Solanum lycopersicum: one gene and its partners. The main gene of each other region encodes a partner of the protein of the gene in region 3 in a complex. Links are inferred from orthologs where the notes say so. Each region holds a gene or a part of one and is shown on either strand. Other genes may lie near its edges.

Region 1 (4,764 bases), on a different chromosome or scaffold from region 3:
AGAACTCCATTTATCTGCATACCGTTCTTGTTAAGAGCTTTTTGAGCATCAGCACGATTCTACACCATAAAAGAGGAGAAAATAAGACACGACTTTATGGTCAATGAAATGTTTTTACCTTCCAGAAGACTAGGGTCATTGACAGCAAAAAGATTGCACAGAGAAAAATAAATACAATGGACAATTTTTTTTAAAAAAAAACAAACATATCCCTGCAAAGAGAGATTACATATCACGGGCATTGCAAGTGGCCACACTATTTATTGGCTTCACAGCAAAGGTAGAAATCATTCCAAAGAAAGACGCTTGGTAAGGTCAGGTCAGACCAGCAGTCGCAGCTGCGGAGACCAACACAGGGTTAGCGGACTTCTAAAAAGAGGCTAAAATTAAGCTCAGAGCCCTATTACTGTAAAATATACAGTTAAGTAACAGCAAATGTCAAAAGCAAAGAAGCCCTAATCTAGTTCTGATAAATTTATCAGAACTAGATGCTGAGTTAACATAGAAAATGAATACTTGAATTGCTTGAGGAATGTAAAGTTCCCCAGCCAAATACAATTCAATTTAGTGTAAGCAGAATTACTTATGGGAAGGTAAAAAGCTACACAAGGGTTGCTTGGTAGAGTATCAGAATCAAGAAAGAACGAAAAGTCACGACACTTCTAGATTATAGTAGAGGTATTGTAATGAAGGATTTGTCACTATTTTCATTCACAGCAATAAAGACGATATATAACTCGTATTTCAGCAACATTTACAAACGAATGTCAGCAGTTAGCAAGAAAATCGTACTCGTATCAAAATAAAAAAACTATAATATTCAATATACACATAGAATAAAACAAAACCAAAAAGTTGAAGCAACAAAGAAATGAGCATCAGTAAAAGGGGGAGAAAGGATAAGTTGGTTGGAGAGGAAGATAAAAGAACAGGAAAAAAGGGTAAAAGTTCAGAATAAATTCTACAAGGGGGTGAAGGAAAGTAAAATAATGAAGAAGAAAGGGAGATCTTGTTTTGGTGCAGTTTAGCGGTGGCAAGTAAGTGTTAACTGACACTAGAAATCATGGTACTCCTACAACATAACCGAGAACAATAGAACACCAAATAGGCTCTTAAGACAGTATGTATACAAGCATGTACAACAGAAGCTGAACATGATGACATGTTTATAGGTATATGACATACCTGATAGAGAATGTGCATCCAATTAGCATCTCGGGGGCCCAGAATGTGTTTCAAAATGACACCACATTTCTCAAATTCCCGTAAAACTGAATTGGTGTCAATTGGGGAAAACCTGCACGTAACAATCAAAAGGTAAATGATAAATAAAAGACCAAAAATAAGGGAAAATGGCCAGCAAAATGTGAGAAGTACGGATATTAGGGTCCCTATATAACAACTCAAAGAGACTGAAAGGAACACAGATCATAAAAGTAATAACCTCAGCACATCAAGAGAGACTCAAAACAAAAGCAAGAATGCATCAATACTCCTCTTATTTTTCAAACACAGCTATCACATGAAAGGATGACAAAAGCAAGTTATTGCATAAAAATAACGTTCCACTTTGTTCTCCATGTTCTTTCACGTCGACATTTCTTTGTCTTTTAAGGCCTATTTTAGATGGAGCGGTATTGTCAGGTCATCCAATTTCATATCATTTTCACTTGCTCAGATTTACTTCACAAAAAATGGATTTGAAATAAAAACACAAATCACATGCCTTGTAAGCCTTCACTTAGATTAATATCAAATGAGTCAAAAAACATTTGATAGGACGTATTCTAAATTCAAACCTTCAAATTTATAATACTTGTGAATTTGGACCCCCTAAAATCTAAATTTCTCCATCCAGAGGGAACCTTAGATTATGACTTGGCTAACCTCAAAGGATATCCTCAAGACCCTGCCATGAAAAATAACACAGATAACATCTGATTCTAGTTGAAAGTAATAACTCTACTGAAGGAACAGAAAGTAAAGGAAAAGAAAAAGGAATATATGATAACCATGGGTGGTTAGCAACACATTTTACAATGCAACAGCTTGAACTAGAAGTTACCCTAATGAGCTAACAGCAAAAAAAAGAATATCATGCAGCATCAAGGAGTTCTAATACACCTACTACTATCAGGAACATAAGTGGAAGGGCATAGAATAAAGTATGAAAGATATAGGCATACCCATAAACTGTGACCCATTCTTCCTCATTAAGGTTTCCCACAGGGATTGAGTTCTTCCTGATCTCTGGCCTTGCAACTTCCCTTGGTGGAGGTAAGGTTATCAAAGCACCAGGATGTACGACGCCTTCTACTGGCGAACCTTTGTCCTTGTCATCCTGCTCAGCACTACCACTACCCTTTGCAGGTGACCACCATGTCAAACTTGGCAAGGGGCTTTGTTTACTCTGTTGCTGCTGCTTACCCATCAGTGCATATGAAGTACTTGCCTCAGACTTACTCTTAGGTGTTGAAAATTCCCGTCCTGAATTAAGCACCGGCGTTCTAGGGTCCGACTTGATTTCTGGCGAAGTAATATATTCAGGAATCCCCGATTCCGGAGAGACATCCGATCGATCTTCAAGGGTAAATACAGGCGGTGGTGGCAGATCTGAACTGGCAAAATTCTCACGCCATAAAGCAGAAACAGCTGCTGCCTGACCTGGTGTATTGAATTTCGACCCAGATTTCCGGGAAGAAATAGGTGTAGCTAAATCCTGGAAGAACAGTGATTGTCTTCCAGTTTTCGGGGTTCGCACTGCTGTACTCATTCTCTCTCTCAGCCCTAATGATATAATCAAATTCTCAGAGATTGAACATTAACTAACGAAGCTACCGGATATGCTAGTACATATAAATAACCTATCTGAGAAAAAAACGAAGTACATTCAATTTGTGCCATGAAACTAATGAATTAAATTGTTAAAACATTTCAATAGATTGATTACGCAGACAGAAAGGAGAATACCTGGATGTATTGGAAGACGAAGAACTGAGATTTGAAAATGGGGGGTTTAGGTTGCAGAGCGCGAGAGCGAAAAACCCTAGAATTATAATACTGTGTGAATGAATTCAAATAAAGGCCAGCGGTGGCTTTCAACCAAATGACACTTACTGTCCTTTGGGTTGAACACTGAACTAAAATGTGCCCGGGCTTTTTGGTCCAATATTAATACAGAGGTAATTAAGCCTTTTCTTGTTTTCTTGTATATACGTAACAATGCGGCTCCTTTCCATTTTTATTTGTCGCCAATTTTCTCAAGAGCTAGTATTTATTAATGATATATCGATAAGTTAGATTTTAATTAATTAAAATATATTCAAATTCATAATTTAGATGATAAATATATTATTATATTAATTAATGAAGATATATTTCTAACTATTTTCTTCGAGTTCGATTGTTTCTCTCTTTTCTCCCTGTTCCCTCCAAAATCTTCTTTGCTTTATTTATTACTTTCAGAATATTTCATTTCATGACCTACACAATTACTTCAAGGTGGATGATTAACATCATAAATTACGACACTTCAGTTGTTCTCTACTACGTTTAGCCTCCATTTCTTTACAAATAAAGATCGCGACAAATCTGAAGGGAAAGTTCGGACTAATATTTATAAATTTTCAAGTATTGGTAAAGTTTTCTATCATCTAATGTTGTAGTCGATTTGTAAATGTCGAGTTTTCCTTAATGTGGTCAGCCAATTGGGATCGTCATGGTTGGGATTTACACAAGGGGTTTAGCGAATGTTGGCGTAATTGAAATTTGAATTAATTAATTAAACGACAACAAAAAATTTTTTGGGAGGGAATAGGGAGAAAAGAGAGAAATAATAGGACTATTTTAATTGATATAATAATATATTTATTATTTAAATCATGATTGTATTTCAATAAATTAAATCTTAGCCATTAAATCTAACTTGTGTCATATGTCATTAGTCAAAGCTAGAACTAAGGAAAAATAGGGACAATAAAAATGGAAAAGAGTCGATCCTACGTCTATCAAGCAATTTTGTACAACATCCTTAAAGCCCTAAAAACATCAAATAATCCATTTCTCCAAAATTCTCTCACAACATCTAATGTCTTAATGTTAAAATTTGGGTGAAATTTCACGATGTGTTTGATTATAATATTTAAAAGACGTATTTTATTTTTATCGAAAATATGATTTATACACATAAATTTTAAAAACTATCAAAACTAACAATAGGTTTGTATTATGAGTCAATTGGATCTTGTTGCAACATAAAATAAGTAATTTCCATCACACTGAAACAATATAATAATTTAGAGTAAATGCAAAAATATCATTTCATTCATCATAAAATAAATAAATCACATAACTTTATCACCCTGAACCTATTGTTCATCTTTATTATGATTAAGCTACTAGTGGGAAAATTGTTGTGGTTAAGCTACTAGAGGGGAAAATGCTATATTCTTAAAAAAAAATTAGCGGAAATAGTGGGAACATGCTACAAAAAATAAATAAATGAGTAAAAAAATAAATACACGAAAACACTATGAACCCTTTACACTAGAATACCGATGAATAATATAACGTTACTCTAGCAGAAATGTCAGATTCGAGCTGTTGAAATGAAGAAAAAAAACCTAATATTAAATCTTTCCATTTCATTATGCGTCTTAAGTGATTACATGATGTGAATCTAAATTAGTTTGACTCCAAAATAAATAAAAAACAATTACATGATGTGAATCTGAATTAGTTAGACTCCAAAACAAATAAAATAAA
Region 2 (4,707 bases), on a different chromosome or scaffold from region 3:
TCATTTGAATAGACAAATAATACACTTGAGCTTTATGCAGGCATTGGTACTTACTACTTAGCATTTGGTTTTTGATCAAGACAAAGATGTTAGAATCTGAATACACTAAACAAAAAGACTTCGTTGTCAACATCTGAATATAACTCCGCTTGTGTGAGCTCGCTTACATTGATGATCTTAAGCCCCGATAAAGGAGGACGGTTGATGAGGTTCGAGTAAACAACTTCTCTACACCTTAAAGATAGGGGTAAGGCTACATACATCTTATACTGGGTTTGTTATATTTTCTATCGTTGTATTAAGACTTGAATGCTAAATAATTAAGTTTGTTTGTTTTACAAAATCATTTAAAAATAAGTTAATATAAAATTTAATGAAATACCAAATCAATCTAGCGCTAAATCAATACAATATTTTTAAAAATCAAAGATGGTTGGTAGTGCTGGCTAGCGGTGGTAGTTGTGGGTGTCAATGAAGGATGGTGTTGGCTACTGGAGGTGTTAGAGGTAGGAGTTAGTTGTGGCTGGAAGTGGTGGTTGATAAAGATAGTTGGTGGTGGTGAATGATAGTGATAGGAAATGATGGTTGCGAATCATTATGGAGGCTGTCTTATATATAATGGTGGCGGCTAGTGATGATTGGTAGTTGTCTAACAGCGATGATAGTTGATTGTAATAATTGGCACTGTGGTCGCGGTGGTGGTTGCGACTGTTGAGGATGGTAATTGTGGGGGTGAGTGGTGGTAACTGATAATGGTGAGCCAGCCCTAATGTCATTGACACATGCATAATAAATGATCATTAACTATCCACCTCATGGGCCACTGAGATGTAAACCCAGAATCATGATGAATGGTATCAACACATTTGGTGTAAGCAATACTATAAAATACAATAAAGCATTGAATGCATTCTGAAAAAAGACATCTAAAATACAATTATGTAAGGAAGCTTGTAGAGATGAAGCATTGATTGCATTCTGAAAAAATATATATATAACACAATTATGTAATGAAGCTTGAAGAGACAAATACTTACTCCCAAATGCTGGTGATGAACTGCCAAAAGTGGTAGTAGAAGCTCCAAATGCAGGTGAGGATGATGCACCAAAAACTGATGTAGACCCCAGAGGTGAAGAAGATTGGGGGGTTCCAAACACTCCAGTGGAAGTGCTACCAAAAAAGGAAGCACCTGATTGAGAACCAAATGGATTTGTACTGCCAAAAGGTTTTGGAGCAAATGGGTTATTACTTGTCTGCCCGAAACCTGATTGTGACCCAAATGGGCTAGAAGATGACTGCCCGAAAGCTGAAACAAACAGAAAGCAGTCAGCAGTGAACATCCTCACTGTATACGATAAGAGGAAAATGAAGACTAACAATTGTACCATAGACGAGAAAATTTCAGAAAATACTACACAAATCGAAATAAAAAAGGCATAGTTTCTATGAAATGAAGCAAATTAATGGAAAGATGAGCGGGTGCACTGTGGAAAAGAGCAGCTATTGAAAATAAGAATGGGCAAGTCCTTTTTAATCCTTTATTTCTGGTTAGGAGTATCAGTTTCAACGAAAATGTAAGTAAAGCTACGAGTCATAACTATCTTCATTAGAAGTAAAGGGGGGAGAGGGGGGAATAGATTTCTCAAGTATAAAAAAGATGTTGAGACAGCTGCAAGTACTTACCATTCGTGGACCCAAACATGGTTGGATAGTCAAATCTTTCCCAGCAGTTGTTGGAGTGTCCAAGTTAAGCTACAAAAAGGACAGAACGCGCAGATCATTCTCAATTGGTTGTTGAAGTAGAAATATACGTCTAAAGAAAATTCAATGAAACGGAAGTAAAGAAGACTGTTTCCACTTACATATAATGCCTCAATGAATGAAAAAAATCCTATGCACTAGGTATATGCATTATGCTGCAAAATTAATAAACAAGGAAAGAATAAGAAGATCCATTATTAAGAAAGTAAAACTTGAAAACGTCACGTAAATCAATGTAAAAACAGTGCTTAAATGACAACACTGCATCTATGTGCAGAAGTACAACTTTGGACTTGATTTCCCCCCTCAATTAAGGCAAAAAAAAACTGAATATGTCAAATTATCCATACAAGCATATTGTATACATTAGGGTGGAATGTGAATAAGGTATAGGAAACAGAAACAAAATCAGAAATAAAAAACCTAACGCGCTAGGGTGAAGGCTCTACGTAATATGCCAAGGGGAGGTGTTGATGACCAACTACTAAATGCTTGATTTAAATCTATAAGCCCCAAAAATATCAATCAAAAAGGTTGCAACTTGCAACAAAAGTTATATTCTTATTTAGGTTGCTGTATGCTTGCTAATCTCGGCTATGCAAAGCCAATCATCCTTACTCTTTAGAAGTCCCTGGTTGAATGAAGTCACCAATAGCTTGATAATGGATGTACAGAAATCCACATTCAGAAATAGATTTCCACATATATAAGCCTCGGCCATAAAAATATGGGAAAATAATTAATATAATTGTACACAACTTATTCATGGATACAAATTGTATTCATTAATACTATTGTATTTATTGATACATATACATACTAATCACATGTACACAAAAACAGTCATTGATACATACACATACTAGTTACTTATATACAATTGTCCAACGTACATACAAATACAATCCGCGTCTCTTCTCTCCTCTCCTCCCCTCCCTCTAACATGTAAACTATGTATTTAGCAAACTACAGTTATTGTTGCCTCATTATGTTTCAAATCTTTGTTATTTTTGAAAGTTCCTCTAAAAATATCACATTAATTGATAAAGTAATGGAGAAACCGAATAGAAATCGGAATCGTAACAGCTAGGGTTAAAGGCGCTACCTGAGATGTACAAGGAAGATGTTGCCGGCCGACGGACGACTAGCTGCTCGTTTTCGATCTGAAAGCAGCAGAAATATCACCTGAAAAGGTCGCCGGAAGCTAGCGTTTGTACAACTTCGGCGGAGTTAGAGTGTGTGTTTTGGTCGGAAAAAGCCCTATCAGAAGGTCGCTGCATCATACAAATAGGCAACGTAGCTTTTAAACAACGCTAATTATTGACGGTTCGGTTAATGGGCTTAGACCCGCCCGCCCGTTTAACATGAAACTATTTGTATCCGATTAAGGATCCGACTACTGTCATACTCACAAGTTAGAGGAAATTTAATTTCTTTAACTTATTTGTATTTTTTAGAACTTAAAAATGATTATTTAAAAGTATATTTCTTTTTATTTGAACTCTATATTTTAAAATGTTTAAAATAAATCAATTCAAACATGTTAGTTATTGCGGGTTTCCTTGTATAAAAAAATGTGAATAGCCAATTTTATAATATATATGTGCATATGTGTATATAATATCATTAATTCGAACATATTATAACAATTACACTACATAGTTCGAGAAGCGAATCCAAGATTTGGAAAGTCTAAATACACTAATATTAAGCTAAAAAAAAGAAATTTGACAAAACTCTGATCGCATCGGCGGATCTTTTAACTTGTGCTAGCAGTATAAAGCACCATTTCATGCTTTTTACGAGGATATTGATAACTATATTTAGTTTTATTTTTTTAATTTCTCGAGATGGACTAACATAATATACATGATGTCATGCGAAGTTAATGAATACATGTATACTCCACGTGAACATAGAAATCTACCTCAGCGCCTTTGATTGATAGAATATTTTGATTTTTAACCAACATCGCTTGAAGATCAATAAGAAAAATAATACTGTATATGATTGTTACCCAACCAGCTCATAATTGATTAATACTGCTTTAGCCATTATCATCTTCTTCTTTTTTTGTCATTGTTTTTGTTTCTCCAATGAATGTACATTATGATCAAACTTGTACATAGATTTGAAAAGTAAAAGTCCATTTATCAATTATCGTAGAAGAAAACTTACAACGAAATATTGTCAAATTCAAATCCTATTAATTCAAGTTTTGATATTATCTTAAGAAAAAATACATAAAACACACTAAATTTATGCTGCGATTATGGTGAAGCATACTTAAAAACGAATATCTTATATGTATGCATCGCACTTTACACTTCAATTAGTGAGTGAAAATACTGCATGTTATTATAACACCAGTTTTTCACGATCATTATCTAAAATCTTTTAACTCAAAACGATTTTTTTTAAACGCTAAACGTCTGGAATACTTTTAACATGTTACCTAATTTATTTCACTTCCCTTTACAGTTTATTTTAAATTAATACATATTTCTTTTCAATTCATTAATTGGAACTTTCCACCTAATAATTGTTTAAGAGAGAAAAAAATTAAAAGAACATGTTAATACATCATAAGACCACAAATTCGGAATCCTCATATACTTTTTGAAACTTCGTATCAAATCAACCAAACATCTACTGAAATTATAACGAACTACTACTACTAACAAATATTTAACTCGAAACCATGATTTCTGTACGGAATATTTATCTTTAAAAAGAATTATTGCAGCATTTTTTTCATTATAATAAGCAGGTTTTGACAATTCACAGAAACAAGGTTAAAGCCTAAATAAAACTTGTAGATCATAAAGCTAACATAGAGCATTTTAACATAATCTAAATTTCAGAAGGAATAAGCATTGTTGCACTGTTTCTAACTCCATTAAATAGAGATGAGAGAAGAAACATTTGAGTAGAGGCTAGTCCTC
Region 3 (3,582 bases):
AGCCTTACCGATCAGATTGAGAACAGAGAGTCAGAGTTGAAGGAGAAGTATGAGAAGGAGCTTCAGAAGCATGTTGACAAAGCTACCTCCCAGGTTAATGCAGTACTGGCAAAAGCAGATGAGCAGGCTACGATGATTAAATCACTTCATGCATCTGTGGCGATGTACAAAAAGCTCTTTGAAGAGCATACAGTTGTTTCTTCTGATGCTCAATCTGAAAAATTAGCAGAGGTTCAAAGGCCGGAAGTGATGCTTTTACCTGATTCTTCACATGAAGTTTTAGGGAGAGCACAAGAACGGGCTTTTGAGCGTGTAAAATGTCTTGAAGAAGAGTTGTCAAGATTACGGGGCGAGATTATTTCTCTTCGATCAGAGCGGGATAAGTCAGCTCTGGAAGCACAGTTTGCTCGAGATAAACTTGACAGGTATATGAAAGATTTTGAGCACCAGAAAGAGGAGCATAATGGTGTGATCACGAGAAATGTTGAGTTCTCACAGTTGGTAGTTGACTATCAGAAGAAGCTGCGAGAAAGTTACGAGTCATTGAATGCTGCTGAGGAACTTTCTCAAAAGCTGAAACTGGAGGTGTCTATTCTAAAGGATGAAAAGGGTATGCTGGTAAATGCCGAAAAGAGAGCTTCAGATGAAGTACGTAATTTGTCACAAAGGGTGCATAGTTTGCAGGTCCATTTAGATACATTGCAGAGTACTGAGAACGTTCGTGACGAGGCAAGAGCTGCTGAGAGGAGAAAGCAAGAAGAGTATATCAAGCTTATTGAGAAAGAATGGGCTGAAGCTAAGAAAGAATTGCAAGAACAGCGTGATAATGTTCGAAACCTTATACCTGAGCGAGAAGATGCTCTAAAGAATGCATTGAGACAAATTGAGGAAATGAGGAAGGAAATGACTAGCACTTCACATTCTGTAGCTGCTGCTGAAGCTAGAGTTGTTGTTGCTGAAGCGCGATCTGCTGATTTAGAGGAAAAATTGCAAGCTTTTCAAAAAAAGGTTTCTGAAAGAGCTGATGAAGGCGGTCCTTCCTCTTCTACTGAACTTTTTGACAACATGGATTCTGCTGAAGAAGTTAAAAGACTCAGAGAGGAGGTGCAGGTTAACAAAAATCATATGCTGCAATATAAAAGCATAGCTCAGGCAAATGAAGAAGCATTAAAGCAGATGGAATTGGCTTATGAGAACCTCAAAGTAGAAGCTGATAGAGTGAAAAAATCAATGGAAGAGGAAGCATTAGCGCTTAGGAAGAATGTTGATGAGCTTGAGAGAGAATGTAATTTGAAGTCAATTGAAGCAGCTTCCGCAACTGCAGGAAAAGAAGAAGCTGTTGTTGCTGCTCTAGCTGAAATATCCAGTCTGAAAGAAGATACCTCAGCTAAGACGTCACAAATCTCAAATTTGGAGGCTCAAATATCTGCTTTGAAAGATGATTTGGACAAAGAGCATCAAAGATGGCGTGCTGCTCAAGATAATTATGAGAGACAGGTAATTCTGCAGTCAGAAACAATTCAAGAACTGACTAGAACATCTCAAGCTTTGGCAACCTTACAAGAAGAGTCATCTGAGCTCCGTAAATTGTCAGATGTTCTAAAATCCGAAAATAATGCATTGAAGGCCAAGTGGGAGGCGGAATTGTCGGTGCTAGAAGTATCAAAAACTGAAGCTGAGAAGAAATACACTGAGGCTAATGAACAGAACAAAATATTACTGGACCGGCTTGAGGGTTTGTATATTAAACTGGCTGAGAAGGACCGTGTATCTTCAGGTGTATCTGCTGGAAGCACAGTGGCCGAGGGTGATGACGGGCTGATGAATGTTGTGAATTATCTAAGACGGTCCAAGGAAATTGCAGAAACAGAAATTTCTTTGCTCAGACAGGAAAAACTTAGGTTGCAATCACAGCTTGAGAATGCTCTGAGGAGAGTGGAGGTAGCAGAAGCATCTCTTAATTCTGAGCGGGAGAGTTCAAGAGCTCAGGTTTTAAGTGAAGAGGAGTTCAAAACACTGCAGCTTCAGGTTAGAGAATTGAACTTACTTCGTGAAAGCAACTTGCAGTTGAGAGAGGAGAACAAGCACAATGTTGAAGAATGCCAGAAACTTCGCCAAGCTGCCCAGAAGATGAAAACTGAATTAGAGGATCTGGAGAAGCTTCTTAATGAAAGACAAGCTGATGTAGAAGCTTGTAGGAAAGAGATTGAAATGCTGAAGCTGGATAAAGAGAAGCTTGAGAGGAGGGTTAGTGAGTTGGTTGAGAGGTATAAGAATTTTGACCTAGAAGAATATGCAAGTCTAAAAGAAGCTGCTTCACAGATGCAGGTGAATCTGAGAGAAAAAAATGAAGAACTGGAGAAAGTTAAGAAAGCCATGTCTGAGCAGCAGAATCTGTTAGCTGACTTAGAGCAAGACCTGTCAAGGAGCAGAACAGAATTGAGTCAGAGAGAATCGAGAATCAATGAGATTCTGCAAACTGAGGCCTCGCTGAGATCCGACGTTGATAAACATAAAAAGTTGACAGGTCTAATGAAGAAAAGGGTTGAAAGCAACTTGTTGAAGGAAAAGGAAAGAGCAGACAGCTTATCAAAGGAAAAAGATGATTTGGCTAGAGAGAATCAAGCTCTCTCCAAACAGTTGGAAGATGCTAAACAAGGGAAAAAAACTGCTGATGCTGCAGATGAACAGGCTTTGAAAGATAAAGAAAAGGAGAAAAACACCAGAATCCAGGGGCTTGAGAAGATCACAGACCGACTTAGAGAAGAGTTGAAACAAGAGAGATCAAAGCGCTTGAAGATGCAAAAGACAATAGGGGATTCCTATGGAGCTGTGAATCAGCAACGGTCCAAGCTATCAGATGAAATCGACAAGCATAAGCAGGCTCTGAAGATGCTTACTGATGAAGTTGAGAAGATAAGGCAAACCAAAGGCAGTCAAACGGAGGGCACGTCAGTGGATCAACTACTTTCGGGGACTCACTTGGACGATTTTACTGCTGCATATCTTCAGGCTGTAGATGACTTTGAACGGGTTGCACGTAATGAGCTCGGGGTTTCTGGTGCTGGTGATGCTTCTGCTCCAGATGCTTCTCTTTCTGCCTCTGTTGTTCCAGGCCCAGCAGCTACGCTTCCGCCACCAGCTAGCTTGGTGACTTCCATTCCTGCAGTTGGAAAAGCAGAAGAAGAAAGAAGACTTGTTTTATCGAAGATAACCTCCGAAACTCGTAAAACCGGAAGGAAGTTGGTTCGACCACGCATCACAAAGCCGGAGGAACCTTTAGTTGATGTAGAGATGCAAGATACAGATGAATCCACCAACAGTAGGAAGCATTTGCCACCTCAAAAGGCAGAAAATCTTGATAATGCCACATTACCAACTCAACCACCAATTCGCAAGCGCCTATCTGCAGCCTCTACCTCCTCTACCTCAGAGTTACAAGAAGAGACTCCTGCCATGGATGAAACCTGCTTAGATGTGGCTCAACCTGTGCTTAAGAAGTCCAAACATCTAGAGGCACCTCAAGAGGGCGGTGAAGATAAATCTGTTGATAATGTAGAAAATTCAGAATCTCTGCCTACT

Evidence for each region.
Region 1: nuclear-pore anchor (region 3) and nuclear pore complex protein NUP35 share a complex: the UniProt entries of both Arabidopsis thaliana proteins name them as parts of the nuclear pore complex. The link is inferred for Solanum lycopersicum from reciprocal best matches to the Arabidopsis thaliana genes NUA and AT3G16310.
Region 2: nuclear-pore anchor (region 3) and nuclear pore complex protein NUP98A share a complex: the UniProt entries of both Arabidopsis thaliana proteins name them as parts of the nuclear pore complex. The link is inferred for Solanum lycopersicum from reciprocal best matches to the Arabidopsis thaliana genes NUA and AT1G10390.

What each region holds. Positions count from the first base shown.
Region 1 is NC_090802.1:65,951,661-65,956,424, forward strand, and holds the start of nuclear pore complex protein NUP35, read right to left. Parts: upstream 3,248-4,764; 5' UTR 2,971-3,247; intron 2,869-2,970; exon of another isoform or gene 2,788-2,868; 5' UTR 2,774-2,787; coding exon 2,187-2,773; intron 1,298-2,186; coding exon 1,186-1,297; intron 60-1,185; coding exon 1-59.
Region 2 is NC_090803.1:1,582,766-1,587,472, reverse strand, and holds the start of nuclear pore complex protein NUP98A, read right to left. Parts: upstream 3,054-4,707; 5' UTR 2,868-3,053; intron 1,918-2,867; 5' UTR 1,864-1,917; intron 1,754-1,863; 5' UTR 1,704-1,753; coding exon 1,685-1,703; intron 1,308-1,684; coding exon 1,038-1,307; intron 1-1,037.
Region 3 is NC_090805.1:38,986,022-38,989,603, forward strand, and holds part of nuclear-pore anchor, read left to right. Parts: coding exon 1-3,582. UniProt on the Arabidopsis thaliana protein: Component of the nuclear pore complex. Acts as a docking site for activities required for desumoylation and mRNA export. Required for the proper expression or localization of a subset of miRNAs.